Neodiprion lecontei: one gene and its partner. The protein of the gene in region 1 interacts with the protein of each later gene in a pairwise test. Links are inferred from orthologs where the notes say so. Each region holds a gene or a part of one and is shown in the gene's direction. Other genes may lie near its edges.

Region 1 (3,932 bases):
TATGGAAAAATTGAAGCACCAGAAGCTGATGTCATTGCAGCAGCTAAGAATGCAGATATTCATGAAAGAATTCTAAGTTTCCCTGACGCATACGAAACAATGGTTTGCTTACTTTAATGCTTGTTAACAACATTACAGAAAATGTCTTTGTATAAAATCTTTGGACTTTTTAACAAAATTTCTGTAGAATGTTTTGCTATCTAAAAAATTTTCCTTAAAATATTCGTTAAAAATCTCAGGCTTTGCTGTAAGACCAATGGGTATTTTTTATTTCGACACAGGTTGGCGAGAGAGGATTGCGATTGAGTGGCGGTGAAAAACAACGTGTTGCAATTGCTCGAACAATTTTAAAATCACCTACGATTGTTCTCCTCGATGAAGCTACCAGTGCTTTGGACACACAGACAGAGCGTACAATTCAAGCAGCATTAAATCGCGTCTGTGCAAATCGTACAACCATTATAATTGCTCATAGATTATCAACTATAATTCATGCAGACGAAATTTTAGTTTTGAAAGATGGGGAAATCATTGAAAGGGGTAAACATAACGAATTAATTTCGTACGGCGCAGTGTATCACAACATGTGGCAAGCGCAACTACAAAACAATCAAAACGGTGAAGTTGCTGTAGAAAATGGTGATATAGATGACGATGATAAAAAGGCATCCTAGATCCAATAGATCAAAATTGATGACATAACTTGTACGCATGTACATGTACTATGTGTATATTTGTACAAGTAGATAATTATGTCATGCCTATGTATACGTATTTATCTTAGAGCTTAATATAGTATACTCAAGAAACACTTTCTGATTTCTCATTTGTAGATTGTATTTTCTGTCACCTTGAGATATACATAAAACATTTGTCTACATATGTTCGTACAATATTTCCCGTTAACGACAAAAGTTTTGTTCGGGTTAAAATTTTGTGTCAAAAAATTATCCACGTGTAGATCTTTTGTTAGAGAACAGACTTTTGTTATTTGGCAGATTGAATAAGAATCGATGACGAAAACGAATACTTATGGCTTCCGGTAGCACAACAAACTACGATTTTTATCTTCCACTTTCCAAAATCTGTTTCTAATGTGCTCTTAAGTTAGTTAAATCCTATTAGAGGAAAGTGATATTTGTTCGTGATATTCATTTCTTAAAAAGCCTTTCAGAACTGATTTGAATTCAAAGTTGAATGGTGATTTTGTGATGAAATATGTTCTACAGATCACTAGATGATCTCCCTTTATTCTTCAGCTTTGATACATACAAGCCTTGGTTTGAATAGATTTTTATGAAGTTGCCAAGCAAACTGACAATATGTAAGCAGCGATTTCACGACAATCTTAATATGATCCAAGTTTGGAATATTTATGTAAGTCATTAAAAAAAACTGACTTCTGTTTTAAATGCATTGTTTTCGGTTTCTTTCGTCACACAGTCGTCTGTACAGTTGATAGATTTTCACTGAACTCTAATACTTATGCATGCATGCACAGCGTAGTTACCGGTCGGATGATCTCTGCAGGGTGCAGTTTTTCACGCGGTCGTCTATTTCCTCAAGTCTAAAAATAGCACTGTGGAAATTATGGGAAAGAACCAGTGACTTCATCATCCCCGCTTGCCTGGAAACCAGCCAATCAGGCTGCGACTTGCTAGTTGCAAAGGTCGGGGTTTTTGGAGACTGAAGACGTTCGACATTTGTATAGCAACCTGTTACGCGTGACGTCACAACTAACTGTCTTCAGTCAACGTCTAGTGTGTAATTGGAAGGTAAAAAAAATATGTTTTGACGTGAGAGTAAACCAGGATTATTTCGTTAATTCTATTAGATTAGTATGCAAGATATAATATCAGATATTAGTAAAATTTAAACACGCAATGTAAAATTAAATTTATTTTCAAACATTTAACCATATAACGAAATCCAGTCTGTCGCGCGAACTTCTAACCTATCTGACTATTTCTAGGGTAATTAACTCGCAAAACACTTTTATTTGATTCTTGTGACACTTTGTTGAGATTCTTCGCAGTTCATCGTCATGTTCGCCTACGTAATCAACGCAACTAACCCAACACAACCATCTTTTATCTTGTTTCACTTGCCATGTTATTGTTTGTAAACAATAGAAACTGGCACCAGATATTGCTCATGGCATTAACAGCACATAAGGCCTCCAAATTCCAATAATTGCCCACTGGCAACTTGTTACAAAGATGGATAGTTTCTCAATCCAAATACAATCCCTCACATTTTAATTCAATGTAATTTTCATCATGATCTAGTGCTTTTGGCTTTGTCATCGACTATCCTGAAATGGCTGTGCAGCATGGACAGACTAATCTTTATATCGATGATTTGCCTTGGCTTGAAAGAGAAGAATTATGCAGAATTCTCAATCAGAACAATGAATGGGAAGAGCTAGCAGGTAACGTTTTTACCCATAAATTTGCTATAAATCAGGACCAAGTCAGGTTTGGCTAATTTTTTATTAACAGTCGGAAGCAGCGTATCAATAAATTTAGACTCGATTTAAGATAGAACCGAACGGCTGAACTTGATACCATGTCGTACTATAAGTTAGAGTGAATAGTGAAAAACAATATTCGTCTTTCTTTAGGCAAATGGATGAAATTTGATGTATCTACTGTTCAATGTTTAAGAAAGAACGAAAATCCGACAGATAAGCTTTTGAAAATGTGGACTACTTTCAATCATACAGTACAGGAACTGTTCCTTTTATTATATAAGATGCAACACCATCAGGCAATGCTACTTCTGAAAAATTTCGTCAATCCCAAGTACAGCAAGCTTATCACCAACCGGAAAAGGCCTTCAGCACAATTATTGAATTGCCATGTAGCTGACGAACATTCAAAAGATCTGAAAATAGGAACTAACAATTTCAATCACATTCAACCAGCTTCAAGCGATGTGCAGAAGCTTTGTATTTATCAAACAATGTACGAAAGAGTGGCAAAAATGTTAGACAAGTTCCCACTGCCGAATGATCTAGATCCAAGCAATTCGGATAATATGCTTGTACCAACTGGTGTAAATCAAAATCTTGCTCCAGTTCCAAGACCTGTAGTGGATGGTTCTAAAAATAATAATCAATTGAAGATATCACTTATTGATACCGACCTACCTCAACCATCTTATGAAGAATTAGCAAAAGCTACGCATAATTGGAGCAAACACAACATACTGGGAAGAGGAGGTTTTGGAACAGTTTTTAAAGGTCAGTGTGTACCGTGTTATGCATACATAATTCAATTCAAAACAGATAATTCTTAGGTGAATGATCTCTGGACAGTTGAAAATTTTACTAGAAAATAAATTCGTATACATAGGATTCAAATCAACTTACAAAAAAGTTTTAAAAATAAATCATGTAACTAATTTGTCAACTGGTACTGACTTTAACACTTCTCAAATCTAGGTATATGGAAAGGCACCCCAGTAGCCATTAAAAAAATAGAACAACGAGGTTCTGATTCGAAGGAAAGCTACTTGATCCAGGTAGAACAGTCTTTAAGAGAATTGAAAATTTTGTACGCCCGGAGACATGACAATATCCTGCCACTGTATGGTCACAGCATAGGCGGAGAAGCCCCATGCCTAGTATATCAACTCATGCCAAATGGATCATTAGAAGATAAACTTTCCTTGAGACAAGGATCCCAACCCCTAAATTGGTTGCAACGACATAATATAGCCACGGGTACAGCTGGAGGCTTACAATACCTGCATACTATTGGCCACAAGCCACTCATCCATGGAGACATAAAAAGTGCCAACATTCTGTTAGATAAAAATTTTGAGCCCAAAATTGGTGATTTTGGATTAGCTAGAGATGGACCTGAACAGGATTACATGAAGGTAAATTTTTAGTTGAATAGATGTGTAATCATAGCGATACAATCGTC
Region 2 (3,932 bases), on another chromosome or scaffold:
TGTAAGATCTTAGAATTATTTTATTGAATACCTAGTTAATTATGTGTAACGCAAATGCGATGCCTGAGTATATTTATTTATTATTCGTGCTCCTCCCACCTTCTCCAATTTCTATCTGTTTTCGTTGATATACCAATATTTAACGATAATGGATTACTACAGCTATGTATATTGTATGTAAATTAAAAAACACATGTTTTCGTTGTGTACATTTTCGTTCACGGTTTTTTTCTTTTGTATGCGCACCAGACAGAACGGAGAATAGTAAATCCTCCTGTGAACAGGCAACAAATGTTAGGCATAAAAAGTAACGTGAAATGCCTACACACAGGCGGATTTACCGCATGTTGATTACCTTGGTCTATGGATTACCCACGCGGTGCATCCGCATACATGAACCGACCCGTTACACCAGTATTTTTGCAGAGAAATAAGAATGAAAAATCTACATAACTATTTTTACAGCACTGTTCAAATGCATATCGGCCTCTATGAAAGCAAAATCTTACGACTAACGATAAAATAAAAGGCTGCTCGCCGATACTGTGGGACAGTAGGACGAAAAAGTCGCAAAGAGGAAACAGGAATAGAGGATTCTCTAGTTCACCGCGCGGTTCAGAAGAGGACACTATGATTGGCAACGCGACAACTGTTACATTGCATTACGCTATCAGGATTAAAGTCGTTGGCCTCTAATAAGATTCACTAAACTTTAGAGAGGCTGATTATAAAAGACCTGACTCTGACGTGAAGCTTATAATCCATGTAACTCTACGGACCTCGATGATAAAACAGTTAACTCCTGTGTACATACGAGCATAGAAGATAATTTCTATCAATCAGGAACCGTAGAGTTATTTGGATTATAATCGTCACGCCAAGGTTAGGTCTTTTATAATCAACCTCTGTAAAGTTAAGTCAATTTCTATTAGAGACCATCGAAACGATCCTGATCATTAATTATAATCCTCAGTTGAATGACGGACGTTCTGCGAACGCTCGCAACGCGAGGCTCGTCGACATTTCGTGTCTAAAAACTCGTTAGTTCGTGGCCGATGAGGTCAGCTGGTAAACTTTGCGCGCGCACATGTGGCACGGCAAAAGGAGGGGGGGTTTAGGGCGGTTGGGGTGATGGGGGGGAGGGAGACGGCAGCGAGACGAGTTTCGAGCGTCCCGATCACGGAGCGTCCCGAGTTTGTCCGAGAAGATATTGCTATCGCGTAGAACGGTACTACAGCACCAGTCGCCATGCCCCGTGATTGTTAATCCCCGATGAAAACACTAGCTCGTGTTGTGTTACACACGGGCACAGAACGGACCTCACGTCCATAAGAGTGTACGATTCTTGAAGAGTGTCACAAAGTGATGGTGATCCAGTAACAAGTGAAGGTACATAGATTGAACGTTTTCAACGAGTTTACCGACAGACTGACTACTACCCGTGTCCCGCTCCCCGTTTCGTGCGCCGAGTCGAGCCGTCGTCGGTGGCTGGACTTGAAATTCTGAAATCATGGATCAGGACAGTTTGAGGGCGTCCGAAGAGTCCAACGCCGCCCATTTTATCCAGTGAAAACAACCTTCGATTACAGTTTGACAACTCGAGTGGATCACACCCGTCGTCCTCGATCCGAGTTTTTTTTTTTCTGTGTAATCGCATTGTTTTCATTTCTCTCTTCCCTTCCCCGCCGTTCATCCACCCTGCTCGTTCTCGCTCTCTCCTCTCTCTCTCTCTCTCTTCCCCCCTTTCTCACTCTCTCCCACGTACGCAACCACACACACAGTAACCCATTCTCTTTCACTCTCCCTATCCTATCTTTGTCCTTTTGTTTCCCTTAAGAACTCGTGCAAGTTTTCTTCAAACGTAAACGTTATCAAAGTGGCCCCCGTTACGTGTGCCGAACGAGGCAGCAAAATTGGCTCAAACGCGGAACCTGCGATGGTGATAAGGTAACGAAAATATATTAATACTTTTCATTAATCACTTTCTACTTTGCATGCACGTCATGCACGACGTGCGTATACTTACATTGACTTCAATCACAGTTTTTATATTGAAATTTCCTGAGGCCGTGTCTGTGTTGCGCGTATCGGTCTCGATTGCGCCCAACTTGTTTCGACACGTCTTTTCACCCTTCAAACGTCAAACTATCCACTCATCGACTTTTCACACACCGCTACTGTAATTACAGAACAAAAAACATAACCTAACTTAAACTCAAACAGAGTTCAACACTAAGGTCATTACATACGTCATTCGTCCGGTTCCTGAATCATCGAACGTGTCGATTCATTGAATGTGAAAAAATAAATGGGGTATGTTGGTAAAAAGAAATTAATTTTCAAGAGCATTCGTTTGTTCTTTATACACTGTTCTTGTTAAATATTTTCCCGAAGCTTTGAGGTCTTGTTTATTCCGTATAGCTTGCCACATGCATTTTGCAGATGGGAGCAAGCACAGCATCAATATTGACACAAGTACATCAGCGTAGCCATGATCAATTTATATTTTTACGCTACCCGACATACCTAAAATCTTGAATACATCGAAGAAAATTTTTTCACAAAGCTGCAAACGCGAAATGTATAATAATGTACACCGCCTCCAGGTTGGTTTTTATTGTTCATTTTTTGCGATAAAGACTCAATGGCGTTAGTTGGATTTAATGTGAAGAAAAATCGTTCGACTGAGAAGTAACTGCGGTACTGTTCATTTTTTGTTCCATCAAACTATCGAGGGGGAAACTAAACGGAGTATAAATTGATGATTGTTATGCAGCTGAAGCTAGTAACGTTATTGTAACGATTCAAGTGTCGAAGTATTTTAGAAATATATCTGAAGTGCGGTAAACCATAATAAGAATAAATATGTTATTACTTCAGAAACTTGACAGCTTCGAAAGTGACTGTAAAATTCGTGCAATTTCCGAATGACTTTCAAAGACCAGACTTTTCGAAATATATGAGTATGTTTGGTTCATCACGGATGACTGAATTTCAAATAATCCTAAATGTGCGAAGTAACGGGATTTTTCTCCTAAACATGATAAACTGCAGGAACTTTTAGTTTTTTGCTCGTAATTAACTGCGTACTGATTTGCGATTATACCTTGAACCCAAATTACTGTAGGACAATGAAGGTCGGGGTCTGTTTGCCCAACAACAAGAAGTATGCTCTGACTCGACCTTTTATCTATATAATGTTAGATTTGTAAATATTTGAATGTTTCCGAGCGAGTTGTTCTCAAGGGCGAACGAGCGTTTTCATGCTCTGTGCACGTACGATTTTACTTGCAGAACCGATCGTCTGAAACAAACCGCAAGTTCGGCGTAAATCAGTCGATTATTATTAGCACAAGTCCTGAGTTCAGAAGGTGAACTTTGCATGGAGCTGAAGTTAGTAAACGTTATTGTAATCATTTACATTTCGAAAAAATCGTTATTTCAGTACGAATCATATTCATATTTCGAAAACTTTACTGCTTCAAAGTTAATATAAACTTGCAAAATAGTGATCCCCCCCCCCCCCACTCTTTAACATTTCGTTAGGGTAACGTTAGAAACTTCAACCTCGTGATTTTGTTTTTCGATATACAGAGCCGTGAAACGCTGCAGTACCGAATAGGCCTAAATATAATTCTTCCCTTTTCATGCACAGCTGACAGAAGTGTATACGTATGAAAAGGGTTGCGTTTAGTTTTGTATCGTGTGGATTGGCAATCCACTTTTGACGAGCTTCGCGCTGCTTGTCAGCGAGGGTTTTCGGTAATTGAACCTGATCGGCATACCGTTACGCATATAGGTATGTACACTAGGATGGTCCTCATTTAGAATGTTGACGAATCTATTCCGGATCATCCCACCAAATCAACTATAAATAATTCAAAAACAATGCACAATTTTTTTCAGATTTTTATATCAACTGTAACCCGTGT

Evidence for each region.
Region 2: the proteins of pelle-like serine/threonine-protein kinase pik-1 (region 1) and protein pellino interact in a two-hybrid assay, tested with the Drosophila melanogaster proteins (2 studies listed by BioGRID). The link is inferred for Neodiprion lecontei from reciprocal best matches to the Drosophila melanogaster genes pll and Pli.

Annotation. Positions count from the first base shown.
Region 1 is NC_060265.1:9,923,600-9,927,531, forward strand, and holds the start of pelle-like serine/threonine-protein kinase pik-1, read left to right. Parts: upstream 1-1,035; 5' UTR 1,036-1,775; intron 1,776-1,781; exon of another isoform or gene 1,782-1,973; intron 1,974-2,288; 5' UTR 2,289-2,319; coding exon 2,320-2,431; intron 2,432-2,623; coding exon 2,624-3,244; intron 3,245-3,445; coding exon 3,446-3,885; intron 3,886-3,932. Other genes in the region: ATP-binding cassette sub-family B member 6, read left to right, coding at 1-102, 282-674. UniProt on the Drosophila melanogaster protein: Plays an essential role in the Tl receptor signaling pathway that establishes embryonic dorsoventral polarity; the signal directs import of dl into ventral and ventrolateral nuclei, thereby establishing dorsoventral polarity.
Region 2 is NC_060263.1:2,901,649-2,905,580, reverse strand, and holds the start of protein pellino, read left to right. Parts: upstream 1-1,150; 5' UTR 1,151-1,936; coding exon 1,937-1,947; intron 1,948-2,293; exon of another isoform or gene 2,294-2,308; coding exon of another isoform or gene 2,309-2,313; intron 2,314-3,932. UniProt on the Drosophila melanogaster protein: Scaffold protein involved in the Toll signaling pathway via its interaction with pelle/pll kinase.